Linked DNA regions of Notamacropus eugenii. The protein of the gene in region 2 purifies or fractionates together with the protein of the main gene of each other region. This does not show direct contact. Links are inferred from orthologs where the notes say so. Each region holds a gene or a part of one and is shown on either strand. Other genes may lie near its edges.

Region 1 (7,933 bases), on a different chromosome or scaffold from region 2:
TAAATAGTACACAGAGAATTCTACAAAGAAGATAAGAGGTATAGAGTTCAAGAGATGATAAATTCTCCCTCTTGAGGCTACTGCTTGTACCCTGAGGGACTAGGAGTACTGATGACTGTGAAGAAATGGCTGGCAATACGGATGTGGTATTGTGAACTACATCCAGTAGAGTAAGATGCCTCCTCATTGTCAGTTAGCCAATAAACATTTATTAAAGAACTACTATGTGGTAGGCACTATGCTAAGTATGTGCATGGAGGAGGATACAAAAAAAGGAAAAGGAAAGGAGCTCACCAGCTGATGGGGGAAGAAAACACACAAAAAGGAACTAAAAGGGAGCAGAATGTCTGGATGCAGGACATGAAGACCCTTGGACGTCTACTGAGTTCTTCCAGTCAGGGCACCAAATCTTATTATTTTTATCAAATTTTTCCTCACTTAAAAGTCCCTTCTCCCTCCTCCTTTAGCCTTATGATTAGCTTCATTTCAGTCATCCTCTGGCCTATACCTTAGGGAGTCTTAGGTAGCCGAGTAGATAAGGATAAAAGTGAAAGTAGCCTAAGGCCCACTCATTGTTTTGGAGAGGCCTCTTCCAATTAAATTGAGGAATTCACACACCTACAATTTCTAGGGTGGGGCATGACTTTGACTTTTAGACTTTGTATGACTTCAACTTTTTCTGGTCTTCCCTAGAACTACTTCTTCCTCCTCAGCTTTAACTATTGACGTCCCTATCTTCCTTTAAGTCCTTTATTTTATTGGAAGCCTTTCCTAAAATCTTTTAATTCTAGTGCCTTTTCTCTGTTAATTATTTCCTATTTATTCTGCATATATATAACTTCCTTTGTACACATTCGTATTCATATTACCTCTTCCAATAGATTGTAAGCTCCTTGAAGGCAGGCTGTCTTTTGTCTCTTTTTGTTGCCCTAGAACTTAGCACTGTGACTGGCACATTAAGTGCTTAATAAATATTTAATGATTTAATGACTTTCACACAAATAATAACCATTACCTGATTTATAACCTAATTCACTGAGAACATATTTGAAAGTATATTGATGTATTAGGAATAAATATATTAGGCTGAGCAACTCCATTTGGTTTTCAACCTCCATTTTATGACTAAATAGTCCATATATAAGCTATTTTGTTCTCCCTGTAATAAGATAAGCACTTGAGTGGTATAGTTTGGCCCACAAATCTGTTAAATGATTGGGGGCCATCTCCAGGGGCCATCTATATCATGCCACTGGACCCAGATGGCTTCAGAGGAAAATAGTGAGGCTGGTGACTTTGCACATCCCTCCCTCACTTAAATCCAGTTCACTTTCAAGTCATGGCATCATCTTCCTGAAGTCATTGTTATCTTCTAGAAAAGGACAAAGAGCAGCAAGTAATCACTAATGACTATTCCCCAAATCTGGTAAGTAACAGTTAAGTACCTGCAAATTGCATCAAGTATGTTGTCCCAAATCTTCCAAAAGTCCCAACGTTTAGTAATGACATTAGGAAACTAAAACTTTGATTGGTAGTTCTGTAATGGATAATTTCATCAGTAGCTTAGGTAACTAATCACCAGTCAGAACATAGACATAACTTGGGAACTCCCTTCACCAGAACCATAAAAGCCCGCAGCACTAGAGACCCAAGCCTTCACCCTGCTCTTGTGTTTCAACTAAGGCAGGCTTCTGAACATTCTCTCAAGAACAGTGCAAAGTGCCAGTTATGGAGACTCACCAGAAAGCCACCTCCTCAGGAGCAAAGGAAGGAAGGAAACTTTCCATGAGCACTGGGATGAGACTTAAGACCTTTAGGAATCAGGTTGCTGGCTTGTTCCTAGAGGGGTTGATGATATTAGTGTATTATCAGCCTATTAATAAGCATAATAATGACTAAATGTGGTGGCAGTAAAAATTTGGGCAAAAAATACTAACCCTTAGCATTTGCTTCCTGTGTTCTTTGTTCTTGGCATGTGGAGTTAAGGATCTCTTACTCAGGACACAGCTGGCCTCAGACCTGGGTTTCTGAGGGAGCAGCATGGGGGATTCCTTCTGCTGGTCCTCAGGCCAAGGTTCCTGCCCAGAACAAAAATAACAATAGCACTAGCCTAACAATTTAAGATTTGCAAAGTACCTCCTTATATATTGACTTATTTGATTCAGGGGCTGGAGAAGGTGCAAGCTGCAGTTAAGCAGTGTCCAGTAGTGACCAGTGGGACAAGGCACAGACAAGAAGAATCCAGGAAAGTCCAACAGCATCCAGTCAAAACTTCACCACCAAGAGCAGTAGAAGCAGCACCAAAACGAACAGATCTGCAGGCTTTTGGAGAGGTAAATATCCCTTTCTGGCTTCCCTTCCCTATGAGTGCCTTGGTCTCACATGTGTTTCCTATATGAGCTTTCCTATTTGTGATCTCTGTTTGTGTTAACTCTTCCCATTGACGTCGGTTATTAGTGGGAAAGTTTGAACTGTTCATTTATGGAAATGTTTAGCTGCTACTTTTTTTAAAATTATATTTCAGCAATGTTTTTGCTTTGAGCTTATCATATACTCTGGGTGACTATTGAAAGTAAATACATCATTGAGGGTTTGTGGGCCATAGTCTTAGGAATTCAGGTCTTCCCTATACCTTGAAATTCTGTGGTAGCCAACCTCTCCTGAAGGGCAGGGACTGGGTTTTGGTCTTTCTTTGTATGCCCAGTGCTCATCCTAAGTGGGTACCTGCATAGACTTTGGCCTAAAGGGGCCAAGATCTCCCAGTGCATCTTGGGTTATCTCCAGTCACCCTGATGAATATCTGGTCACTGGATTCAGATGGCTCCGGAGAAGATAGGCTGGTGACCTGCACCACCCTCCCTCAGTCAAAACAAAGTCAAATGCAGTCATATCATCATTTCTCTGACAGCATGGTCTTCTTCGGCAATGAAGGATGAACACAAATGCTTAGCATAGTTCCTATCACTCAGCCTCATAGATGTAATTTCCGGGTAATTAATCATTTTATTAATAATGCCAGCATGTTTATTAGTAAAAGATGGTCATTTACCTATTTCTCTTGGACCAAAGATTATCTTGGTTGCGGCTCAAGCTTGTATGCCCATTGGAAGAGGAATGTTTACAAGGGTAGCCATCAATTCTGATTAGCTAACAGTGAGATTATGTGGATTTCAAGGAGGGGGCTCATCCAGGAACTTTGATTATGTCACTTCCTTCCTAAATTACTGCCTTGGGCAATCTATTCAAAGAACTGATTCCTCACCCAGTGCAAAATAACTTCTCCAACCACATAGGGTCTGAACAAGAAAGTTCAGTCTCATTATCAATAACACTCCTTGAGAGACTGAACTTTTAAAATCAGGACTTAAGAAAAAAGGGGGGAATGGCCCCAAATCATTGATTATTAACAATGATTTCTCTCACTTTTATTGACTGACTCCCCCTGGGGTACTACATTTTTATCCCCTACTAGATTTCCCTGCTTTTCCAGCCTCTGGGATATCTTTTTGGATTCCCCCACTTGGATTGCATTTTATATTGGTGGTCATCTTTCACTACAGAAGTAGTTGCCAATTTTTGTTTGTTTGTCCTGAGAATCCTTTTCACCAGGAACAACAAAAAAGAAATGTGTTGTGAACCCCTAGGATAATTTAATACACTACCCACTGGACCACCTAGAGGTTTTGAACGGTGCCTACTGGGTTGTATAATGATAGCTAACATTTGTGTAGTATTTGCTAAGCACCTTACAGTCCTCCCACTGGATCCTCACAGCCACCCTGGGAGACAACTTCACTTTATAGACGAGGAAACTGAGGTAGAGGTTGAGGGGCTTGCCCACCCTTGCCCAGTTAGCGCATGAAGCCACACTGGCACTCAGGCTTTGCTGACTCCAAGCCTGATTTCTACCTCTGCCTTGAAGGCAGAGACCACCCATGGGAGGAATTGGGATCCACAGCTCTAGGAGCACCTATTTTATGTTGCACACTGCGACAGCTGCGCCTACCTGTAATGGAAAGGACTGGTGAATTTCAGGGTCTGAGGCTGCCTTCGACCCTAAAGGTGTGAACACAGGCAGGTCACGTGATTTGTTTTCTCCTCCATAAAATGGGGAGAATGCCGACTGCGGGGACCCGCCTCTCATGGGGTCTCAACGGAATTCAAAGGAGTTTAACAAAAGTGTGTCTAGTGTGTACCAAACTTCAGAGCTAGAAGAACAATTACTGTTTTTTTAAAGTTTTTTAAATTACTGAATTTTTACATTTTAAAGTATTTTTCAAAGTATCTCCTTTCCATGATTTTTCCCCCACTATTTTTCTTTCCGATTTTAAATACTAGCGGCCGTATCAGCCGTGACTTTCGACAAAAGGTTCCCTTGATTTGCCTCTCTGGAAAAATTCCCCCCAAGAACTTTCAGTCCCGCAAAAGTCCCAGGGAGCATGCGCAGGCGTGGGAGCCGCGCCAGCCCCTAAACAGACCGTGTGGGGGGAGGGTTAGTGCCTTAACGGACGGCTCCGGGAGCCAATCAGAAGGCGCTCCATGGGGGAGACGGGGAGGGGAGGCTCTTCTTCCTGACTAAGGCGGCCGGAAGTCGGCGGCCATAGACGCGGTTTATCCGCGACGCTCTAGAAACTGCGTGAAGTAGTGGGAGGTGAGTGGCGATGTCAGCTGGGGACGTGGGATCTCGGCGCGGTTTGGGTTTTTTTCTCCCGGGGGATTTCTCGGCAGGGAAAGGGCCAGCGGAGCTGCAGGCTCCCGGCTGTGGGGAGGGCGCTCGGCGTGCTCGCCCCTGCCCTTTTCTGTAAACATCCCCGCCCCCTCCCCCCCGATTTACCCGCCCCCTCGCGGCGCCCCGGCTACGGCGGGGGTCGCGGCCCCTCCCCGTGGAAGGCCTGTGGGTGTGGGAGCTGGGCCCCCCCCCCCCGCCCCAGTCGGGCGGCCCCCTGGACCCCCTGCCGAGAGGCTCGTCCCTGCGGGCCCCCGGAGGAAAGTGAGACTTGGAAGGTTTGGGGACTGTGCATTTTCCCTCCCGGTGCCTGCGGTGTTCCTCCTCCTCCTCCTCCTCCTCCTCCTCCTCCTCCTCCTCCTCCTCCTCCTCCTCCTCCTCCTCCTCCTCCTCCTCCTCCTCCTCCTCCTCCCCCTCCCCCTCCCCCTCCCCCTCCCCCCCCTCCCCCTCCCCCTCCCCCTCCTCCTCCTCCTCCTCACGTCCTGGCACCCCCCGACTCTCCTCTAAGACCCGCCAGCCTTAACTCGTACCTTTAGTGCGAACATTTTCCCTCTGTGTCTCGGCACCCCCCCATCTCTTGTTTGTACAGAGGTGTTTGTGTGCCCCCCCAACTCTTGTTTATATAAAGGTGTTCGTGTGCCCCCCCAACTCTTGTTTATACGGAGGTGTTCGTGTGCCCCCCCAACTCTTGTTTATACGGAGGTGTTCGTGTGCCCCCCAACTCTTGTTTATACGGAGGTGTTCGTGTGCCCCCCCAACCCCTCATCGAATGCTCCTGGAGGGAAAACATTCTTGGTGTTCCCGTACTTAGCGCACACCTTGGCATAGGATCGCTGTTGACTTTTGCCGCCGTTTTGTCAGAACTGAATGAAACTCATTTTAGAGTGTAGAGGTGGTCGTCATAGCCCAAAAAATCGGTATTGATGCTGGTTCTTTAATGTTTCCCAACCTTGTACGTTAGTGGTCCCGTTTGGTTAAAAACAGCTCAGCGAAGCAGACGTTTATATACCTATTTTACAAAGGAAAAAGGAGCTCTGAGAGGTTAAGTGATTTACACGGGGTTATTTTGGTAGTGAGTGGCTCAAATGAATCCACAAGCATTTACTTCATGAGAACTTGGGGATTCAGAGACGAAACAAAATCGTTTCCTACAAACTTAGGTCTAACTGCACGGGACGTAAGGGGCGCACCAGCAGCTGGAAGGTGGTGTTTAATTTAAGGAGGTGAGAAGAGACTCTGCATGAGGACAATCTTTGAAAAAAGCAATGGTTATAGGATATAAAGGGATATTTTTAATTCACTTGACTAAAACCCCTTTACTGATTAAACTTTAGCTTGGTGGTGTTTAAAGCAATGTTTTCAAGATCACACAGGTAGAGCGGGAATTAAGAGTCTAGCAGTGTTTTTGTTTTTTAATTTGCAAGGTGTAGTGGTTTTTACCATTATGGCCTTGTAGCTTAGAGGTAGGACTTTATCTAGATAGGATTTCTTTGGCTAACTGGTAAGGAGACAGGCAGTTCCAGGTGAGGGGGAAAAGAGTATGTTATTTTTGGGACAGTGAGGAAATTTACCATACCAGTTGCGGATGCTTTCAGGCCCATCACCTTGTAGTTATAAGGAGCATTGGTGAGGGAAGACTTTGGCTAAGATCACATAAATAAGTGCCATCTGAGACCTTGAACCTGTGTATTCCAGTGGTGTCCACTGCCTCTGTACCCTTTTTCAAAGACACCTTCAACCCTTTCCCATCCCAAAAAATAAAGAATGTTGGACTTCTTTTATTTCCTTTTCATATGTGAATTCACATATTGCTAGTATTTTTATTTGATTTTGATTCAAGAAAACTTCAACTTTGGAGGGACCTCACCCTCAGTGGCCATCTAGTCCAACCGATTCCTCAGAAGGAAGTCCCATAAGTAGTCGTTAAGAGCCTTTTCATGTTCAAAGCACTGAACTAGTCGCCAGATGCTGGTGTTTTATATATACGTATACACACACACACATATATACACACACATCTATATTATATATTATATATATAATTATATACAGTATATAGTATTATATATATAAATAATTAAAACTCTTTGCTGTTAGGGAGCTTAAAATTCTCTGGTCTAGAATTGCCAGTTGGTTATTGGATATGTCTGACTTGAATAATCCAAATAAAGGCACTTCACACTAAACATTTCCAATACATAATTCTTTATCTTTCCCCAAACTTAACTTGCTTTCCTATTTTTGTTGAGGGTACCCCCAGTCCTTTAGTCCCTAGTTTACAGCCTCTTAGTTATCCTCAAGAAACACTTCATTGCCTCTTTATGCTTTTGGATAAATCACTTCACTTTCTTGAGTTTATTATCTCCAAAATAAGAGGATTGGCTCTGAAGATGGCCTCAGAAATCTCTTAGGGCTCTAGATGCATGATTCTATGATTCTGAGTTGCTTTTCCCATCTAGTCAGTTGTTTTGTTTTTTCCTTTTTCCACATCTCTCAGATCCTTTTTTTTCCCCCTGCTCTATCATGTAGTTCAGCTATTCATTCTCTCTTAACTGTATGATTACAATTGCTTCCTAATTAGTTTTCTTGCCTCAGATGTCTTCCCCCTTTCCAATCCATTCTCCACACAGCTATCAAAGAGATATTCTTAAAGGAGCAATGATAGTCATCTGCTTAAGCTTCATTTGGTCCCTTATTGCCTCTAGGATCAAATACAAACTTCTCTCTTTGGACTTTAAAGCTTTTGGCAATCTGTATCCAGCCTACCTTTCTGAACTTATTACCTCTGTTCACACACTTTATAGTCCAGCTACACTGGCCTACTTTCTATTTCATCTTCATCCTGTGCCTCCATACATACTGTGTATGCCCTTTTCACTCTACTTCTAGAATCCCTAGTTTCCATCACTTTGGTTTGTTCACCATCTTCTACATGAGACCTTTCCTGGTATCTACAACTAGTAGTACCTTTTTCCCTCCTCTTACCTATCCCTAAATTATATATACTTTATGTTTGTCTGTTAGAGTGTAAATAAACCCTTCCAGGGCAGAGATGATATCTCTGTATCCCTAACACCAAGCAATGTTTCTGATATACAATACATATTAATGAATGCATATTAGGGAAGGTCTGTCTTGTACAGAATAAAGGGCTCAATATGTGTTTAATGAATAAATCCTAATTGGGACTCTTGCTGAACTCTTTCA
Region 2 (8,324 bases):
ACTCTCTCCATGTTGAGAGATGCCATCTTAGCAAATTGATGTTATTTGTACATGTACAGAGCCTAATTAAACATCTTTCATCTGCTGGATGTTCACCTTTTACTTTCATTGTTAAATAGATAGATTTGGGATGAGTTTATTTTAGTTTGGTTTCTCACCTATTTTTAAACTGTTTTTCTTTCCACCACTGCTTTTTAGCTATTTCATGAGATGATACTGTTCATAATCTACGACTATCCTTTTCTGTAAGGTTTTACAAACAAGCTTATATTCTAACCTGGTTTTGTCATTGGCTGATATATCTCTACTTCTCAAATAGATCAAGTATTTGGTGCCTGAGGTGATTTTTCAGCTTCTTTGATTTCAACATAATGACAATTGACATATCAATTGTGCTTTGGTGTGAAGTTTTGATCATTGTATGTCTTTTCCTATATCCATTTTCTATTTTATATGTCAAAAGCTTATTGAAAAAAGTCAAGTTGGAGCTGACTTTTTAAAATTGCACATTCTATCTTTTTTTTATTCTTTCATGTAATTTTATATTACTTTTGATCTTTGCTCTAAGAAGTTAGAGGTTGACTCTACTCAGAGAGCTGATTTAGCAATGGCTCCCATATCAGGAACAAGTTCTTTCTTGCTTGTTAAACTATAATCATTTAATTTTTTTGGTGATGTTATTTGGTGTTCATCATGCCCAGTGTTTTCCAAATCTTTTCTCTAAGAAAGTATTCATGTCTACATTTGATAATCCCAAGCTTTTGGGATAAGAATTCATTGTTTGACAAAAACTGCTGGGAAAACTGGGAAATAGTGTGGCAGAAACTGGGCATAGACCAACATCTGACACTGTATGCCAGAATAAAGTCCAAATGGGTACATGATTTAGATATAAAGGCTGATACTATAGACAAATTAGGGGAGGAAGGGATAGTTTATTTGTCAGATTTACGGAGAATGGAGGAATTTATGACCAAAAGATACAGAACATTATGAAGTGCAAATTGGATAATTCTGATTACATTAAATTGATAAGTTTTTGCACAAAGCTAATGCAACCAAGATTAGGAAGGAAGCAGAAAAGTAGGAAAGAATTTTTACAACTAGTGTCTGTGATGAAAGTCTCATTTCTAAAATATATAGAGAACTGAGTCAGATTTAAAAGAATATGTCATTCCCCAATTGATAAATGGTCAAAGGATATGAACAAGCAGTTTTCAGAAGAAGAAATTAAAGCCATTTGTAGTCATATGAAAAAATGCACTAAATCACTATTGATTAGAGAGATGCAAATCAAAACAACTCTGAGGTACCACATCATACCTATTAGACTGGCTAACATAACAAAAAAGGAAAATGATAAATGTTGGAAAAGATGTGGGAGAGTTGGAACACTAATTCATTGTTGGTGGAGCTGTGAGCTGGTCCAACCATTCTGGAGAGCAATTTGGAACTATGCCCAAAGGGCTATAAAAATGTGCATACCCTTTGACCCAGAAATACTACTTCTAGGACTGTATTCCAAAGAGATCATAAAAATGGGCAAAGGACCCACATGTACAAAAATATGTATAGCAGCTCTTTTTGGAGTGTCCAAGAACTGTGTGTGTTTGTCCTTTGTTGCTGAAGAAGACCATGCCATCAGAGAAATAATGACATGACTTGCACTTGACTTTGTTTTGAGTGAGGGAGGGCTGTGCAGGTTACCAGCCTCACTTCTCCTTCAGAGCCATCTGAATCCAGTGAACAGATATTCATCAGGATGACTAGAGATGACCCAGTTGGGGTTAAGTGACTTGTCCAAGGTCACACAGTTAGTGAGTGTCAAGTATCTGAGGTGAGATTTGAACTCAGGTCCTCCTGATTCCTGTACTGGTGCTCTATCCACTGCACCACCTAGCTGCCCTCCTTGGCCAAGAACTAGAAATAAAGGGGATGCCCATCAATTGGGGAATGGCTGAACAGGTTGTGGTATATGAATATAATGGAATACTATTGTGCTATAAGAAATGATGTACAGGTAGACTTCAGAAAAACCTGGAAAGACTTATATGAGCTGATGCTGAGTGAAGTGAACAGAATCAGGGGAACATTATACACAGTAACAGGCAGTATGCAGACTATTTTTAATGGACTTAGCCTTTTGTAGCAATGCAAGTACCTAAAACATTTCCAAAAGCTCATGATACAAAATGCCACCCATATCCAGAGAAAGAAGTATGGAGTCAGAATGCAGAATGAAGCAGACTATTTTCTCTTTTGTTTTTCTCATGGTTTCTCCCATTCATTTTAATTCTTCTATGCAACATTACTAATGTGAAAATGTGTTTAATAATGTATATGTAGAGCCCATATAAGATTGTATGCCATCTTAAGGAAGAAGGGGGGAGGAAAGGGAGAAAATTTAAAACTTATGGAAGTGATTGTTGAAAATTGAAAACAAATAAATCAATAAATTTGAAAAAAAAAATATTCCTGGCGTATAGGTGTGGGATTTCTATGGAGTATATAATTCTTTGTCCTCTTGCATCCCTTACTCCTGAAATATATTTTATCCATTCTTGCATAGTTCCTCCATTCTCATGTTTATGTTGATATCACCATGTATGAATATAGATGATAATTTAATTTGAAAGGTCTTTTTGTATCTGCAAAATTTCTTTACTTCTCAATTCTCTGCAACAATATTGATGTATAAATTACAATAATTTTCATGGTGGTATTTTCCTATACATCTATTTTGAGCACTGCCATATAAGATAATCAAATGTGCTATGATATTTCTTGTTCATCTTTGAATGCAGAATAAAACCAACTAGGCCAGTTCTTTAAGTGCCTTTCCATGGAGAATCTGTGATCCATCCTTCCATTTAACTACAACTTTCTATGTCTTCTGGTTCCATCAATAGTGAAAAGTTAAAATTGCTATGATTCAGCTGTTTTAGTAAGTGGTCCTTGGATAAGGATCTAACATTCTGTGTTCAAGTAGCTAAATTAATGTTTATAGCTGTGCGATTCACAGAACCATTTTTTCCTTTTCTCTAAAACTCTGTCACCCTCACAGCAGAAGCAGAAGGGGGCAGCACAGGATTGAGGACTGTTTTGTCTTTTATTTTGGTTCATAGGTTGCTATGGGTGAAAAATTCATCAACAAGAAGTCTGTTTATTGGTACTGACCCTCCCTATATACCTCTATGACAGTCTTTACAAAGGAGAAACAGTCTATGGTTCTTGTCATGTTGGAACCCTTTCCACAATAGTAGAAACTGCCACGTATTGTCCTCCACTGGCACTGACTTTATGAAGACAGGGCCACCTCACATTATCAAGGCATTAGAGAATGGCTCTGTGGAGCTTCATTTTGTTTTAACTCTAAAAAAGGCAAATAATATTTGCACTATCAACCTTGCCAGGCTGGTTTTTAGGAATGTTCTTGGTAAACTATGATATGGGTAAAACTATAATAACTTGGTAAGATATAATAACAGACTATGGGCTTTTATTATATTTTGATTGATGGGAACATAGATTTAGAGCTGGGAAGAGAAAACGGTGAGGACCCTGAAACCAGTCTCCATTTTCTACAAAAGAGAAAACTGAGGCACGGAGGTGTGACTGACCCAGGGTCACATAGCCAGGAAATATCTGGGACAGGGTTTGACTCTGCTTTGGGCAGGACTCTGGACCTTTACTTTGATCATCTGGGAAATAAGATGATTGAACTAGGTGACTTCTAAAGTCCAGAGTGACAGGAAACTAGCTCAGTGGCTAAAGCAGCTGGTCTGGAGGCAGGAAGACCTGAGTTCAAATCCCATCGCAGACGGTTCCTAGCGTCATGATTCTGGGCAAGTCTCTTAACCTCGGTCTGCCTCAGTTTCTTCAGTGGGGATAATGATCACAAAAGTTTATAGCACTTCCTACGTGCCAGGTACCATGCTGAGCTTTAGAAATGTTTCATAGACACTATGCGAAGCTTTACAAATATTATCTCGATTGATCCTCACGACCATTCTGGAAGTAGGTGCTATTATGATCCCCACTTTGTGGTGAGGATTAAACGAAATAGTATTTATAAAGCGCTTGGCACATCGCATTAAATAAATACTTATTTCCGCACTTCCTACTAGGGTGCCTTCCAGCTCTATACAGGCACGTAATCCTCGAGAGGACTACAAATCCCAGGATGCAATAAAAACTTCCCTCCGGGGGCGGAGTCATGAAAGGGGGTGGGAGCCGGAGGGAAGGGAGGAGCATGCTGCTTTCTGGGAGTCGTAGTCCCTACGCCTCGGACTAGTCCACGTGGTCGGCCCGGCACCAGCTGGGGTTTGCCGGCTGCCTCACACTCTCACCCCACCGGCTCCGTGAGGCTCGGGTGTCGCCGCGAGGGGCAGCGAGCTCCGAGGCCGAGAGCTGTCGGGGAGGGGGAGGAGGAGGAGGAAGACGAAGAGGAGGAGGAGAAGGGAACCTGAGGGTTTGCGACGTTTTTTTGCGACAGCCGCGGCCGCGTTCCGTGATTTCCCCCTCCCCTCCGGTCTCGCTCTCCCTCTCTCTGTGTTTGTGTGTGTGTGTGCGTGTGAGTGTGTGTATGTATGTGTGTGTGTATGTGTGTGTGTGTGTGTATGTGTGTGTAGATACCGGCTGTTGTGTGGTGCCGCTGCCTCTCTGGGTGAGTGTGCTTGCGCGTGTGAGTGGGTGAGTGTGTGTGTGAGTGGGTGAGAGAGGGAGTGAGTGTGTGAGGGAGAGGAGGAGGAGGAGGAGGAGGAGGAAGAGAGCGGCAGCCTCTGCAGCCGCCGCCGCCGCCCCAGCCAGCCCGGGGACGAGGACCGAGAGCGGCTCGGGCTCCGGGCTCCGGGCCCCGGCCGCTTCCCCTTCGCTCCCCGGCTCCGTCTCTCGCCCCTCCGCTGGATGTCCCCGGCTCCGGCGCGGGGCCTCCTCCTCCTCCTCTTCCTGCATCAGCCGGGGTGGTGCCGCCGCCGGCGGGCGTGAAGCGGGCGGGACCCCGGGGGCCGCGGCTGCCTCCGCTCCCCCCCGGACCCCGGCCCGGGCCCCGGCGCCTCCCCCTCCCCGCCCGCCCGCCCGGAGGCTGTGACAATGGACTATGACTTCAAAGTGAAGCTCAGCAGCGAGCGGGAGCGCGTCGAGGACCTGTTTGAATACGAGGGCTGCAAAGTTGGCCGCGGCACTTACGGTCACGTCTACAAAGCCAAGAGGAAGGACGGGTGAGTGGGCCGTGCGTGGGCCCCGGTGCGTGCCCGCCCGGGTGCGCTCCAGCAGGCCGGCGGGAGGGCCGGGCCGGGCTGGGGCGTGGGGGGGCGGCCGTGTCACCCGCCGGCTCTGCCCCGCAGCCCTTCTCCCACGCTTCCCATTCTTCCTGGTCCCCTTAGCCAGGTCTGCGCGGAAGGGGGGATGGGGGAGGAATCCAGATAGCCAGAAATCCCAGGTGCCGCTTGTGCTTGTTTCCACCGTGGGTAGGGGTGGCGGTGGCAGCCGCGGGAGAGGGGCGTCCCCGGCCCTCGGCAGCTGTGCTCTTTGAGGAGGGGTCGGCAGAAGCGCCTCTGGTCGGAGGGCGGCGAGCTGGGTGTTAGAAGTTGCATTAGTATGCTGTGCTTACCGTTCTGGGGACTTTCCCATCCCCCTCCCGAGTGACATCCATCAGTCTGGAGAGCGGTGCAGTTTAAGGGCAGCTGGGGTCGCCTCTCTGCTTCTCTCTCTCTCTCTCTCTCTCTCTCTCTCCTCTCTCTCTCTCTCTCTCTCTCTCTCTCTCTCTCTCTCTCTCTTTCTCTCTCTCTCTCTCTCTCCCTCTCTCCCTCTCTCCCTCTCTCCCCCTCTCCCCCTCTCTCCCCCCCCCCCTCTCTCTCTCTCTCTCTCTCTCTCTCTCTCTCTCTCTCTCCCTCTCTCCCCCCTCTCCCTCCTTCCCTCTCTGCCTCTCCCTCTCTCTCTCTCTCTCTCTCTCTCTCTCTCTCTCTCTCTCTCTCTCTCTCTCTTCCTCTCCCTCTCTCTTCCTCTCCCTCTCTCTCCCTCCCTCTCTCTCTGTCTGTCTGTCTCTGTTTCTCTCTCCCTCCCTCTCCCTCCCTCTCCCTCCCTCTCCCTCCCTTTCCCTCCCTCTCTCCCTCCCCCTCCCTCACCCTCTCCCCCTCCCTCTCCCTCTCCCCCTCCCTCTCTCTTCCTCTCTCTCTCCCTTCCTCTCCCTCTCTCTCCCTCCCTCTCTCTGTCTGTTTGTCTCTGTCTCTTTCTCTCTCCCTCCCTCTCTCTCCCTCCCTCTCCCTCTCTCCCCCTCCCTCTCTCTCCCTCCCTCTCCCTTCCTCTCCCTCCTCTCTCTCTCTCTCTCTCTCTCTCTCTCTCACTCACTCTCACTCTCTCTCACCCTCTCCCCCTCCCTCTCTCTCCCTCTCCTTCCTTCTCTCTTTCCTCCCCTCAGTTTGTAATCGTTTTTTACCTTTAAATTCGGGTTTTATTTCTTGGAAGGAAGGCGGCAAAGAAATGTTGATAGCGGGAGCTGATTACTATGATCATCTCCTACGTGTATGTGGCACTTGCCATTTAGATTTCATTAGCCCATGGAGAAGCAGTGAGTTTTTACATAGAACAATGGGGGTTTGATGCAGGGTGGGTGGTGGGAAATGACTAGTGACAAATAGGGACTATGTTCTATGCCTAGGTATTCCCTCCTCCCCTCCCCAAATTTAGGAGCTGGAAGTGAACTTTAAATAGTCCGTTTACTTGAAAAAATTTTTTTTCTTGTACATAACTTAATTAAATCTATGACTGGTAATCCTCTCAATATAGCTACTCGAACTGACAGGTGAAATACTCCCTTTTTCCCTTTGTCAGTAGATGGAATATTTTATAACATCGACAAAAGAGAAGACAGTTGTCATTTGGGGTGGAAAATGTATTTGATTACTCCCTGTTTTCTTTTACATGAATAAATATCTTCCCAGCCTGCGTTCCACTTGGAATTGTTGGGAAGAGACTATTCAAGTCTTGTTATATAAGCTTTGGAATTTTATTAAAAATCAACATAGGAATACTTGCATATCCCCATCATTTTTGATTATTTACTACTTAACCTTAAAAATAGGGCAGCTTGATTTTTTCTTTCTATTTGAAAAGCAGGATGTGATGGATCAATCAGGAATGTCGGCACAGAAATAAGCATTTGACAAAACTGAAATAAGTCATCTTCGAATATTGAAACAATTAAAAACAATTTGAATATTCTGCATATTGAAGAGAAAGTACTTATTCAGCATTTTTCTTACCTTTACTGAAATTTCTTTCAAAAAGAATGTGAAATAGAAAGCCCATGAGGAAAAGTGCCATAGTTACTGATTTGTATGTATACTCCAGCAGTTTTCTGGAGAGTTAAAGCTTTTTATATATCTGCAATCAATCTGGAGGGATTTCAAAGCTTGATACTATTTATTGAATATATTTAAAATTCTGCCTCCCCCCATTTTAAAAACAGAATAGTCAGTTCAGTGACATTTAAGAAAACAATTTCTGGATATATTGCTTACTCTATTGTCCAGTTAGATTTGTCATTAAAATATGACCAGAAGAGTATATATGCATTTTACAAATCATGCTTGATTAATTTCTCACAGACATTTTCCCAAAAATCTCCTCTCCCCACAGTGTAAAAGTTTGGAGAAATTAATAAAATTTTGAACCCCAGGAAATTGGAAAGTCTAGTTGTTTTGATCAACTTGTCATGCATTTTATAAAATTCTACTGACTATGAATTACTCTTTTATTCCTTAAGAGGAACCAGCTACATTTGCAAGAAATTGCCAATGTATGCTGATATAAATATGCAAATTTGTGGCTTTAACTATGATTACACGTTTTATTAAACCAGCTGTATTACAGTATGCTTGAAGGAGATACTTTTCAACATGTTTTTATGTCTCATTGTCATGTTTTAATTTATGTTGTTTTAAAAAGATAGAATTACCATAATTTAAAAACAGTTTTAAAAAGAGTACCTTGTATAAATTGTTTTTTTAAAAAATTTTATTGTAACAAAAGGAATACTGACTGTATTTTCAAAAGGAGATTTTTTTTATTTAAAATTCTTTGAGCTTCCTTTTGTTTATATGATGAGCTTTCAAAGATGTATTGAATATCGGATTTTAACCTAAGATTGTTTCAGTTTTCCAGAGGTTCATTTTTCTCTTTGACTTCTTCCAGTAAAATATAGTATTGTGTCTCTCTGAAGTTATCTTTTTATTGTATGTCTGTTTAATGCAATGTAATTTACCCTTCATCTTAGTGATGCGAAGTCTACAGCCATTAAATTTTTTAATAAAATAAAGATGATT

What was found.
Region 1: the proteins of CDK8 (region 2) and MED7 purify together in Homo sapiens (affinity purification with mass spectrometry; 7 studies listed by BioGRID and IntAct, counting the BioPlex papers as one, with this or other methods). This does not show direct contact. The link is inferred for Notamacropus eugenii from reciprocal best matches to the Homo sapiens genes CDK8 and MED7.

What each region holds. Positions count from the first base shown.
Region 1 is NC_092872.1:386,117,239-386,125,171, reverse strand, and holds the start of MED7 (mediator of RNA polymerase II transcription subunit 7), read left to right. Parts: upstream 1-4,516; 5' UTR 4,517-4,651; intron 4,652-7,933. UniProt on the Homo sapiens protein: Component of the Mediator complex, a coactivator involved in the regulated transcription of nearly all RNA polymerase II-dependent genes.
Region 2 is NC_092876.1:193,787,944-193,796,267, forward strand, and holds the start of CDK8 (cyclin-dependent kinase 8), read left to right. Parts: upstream 1-5,091; coding exon 5,092-5,219; intron 5,220-5,611; exon of another isoform or gene 5,612-5,734; intron 5,735-8,324.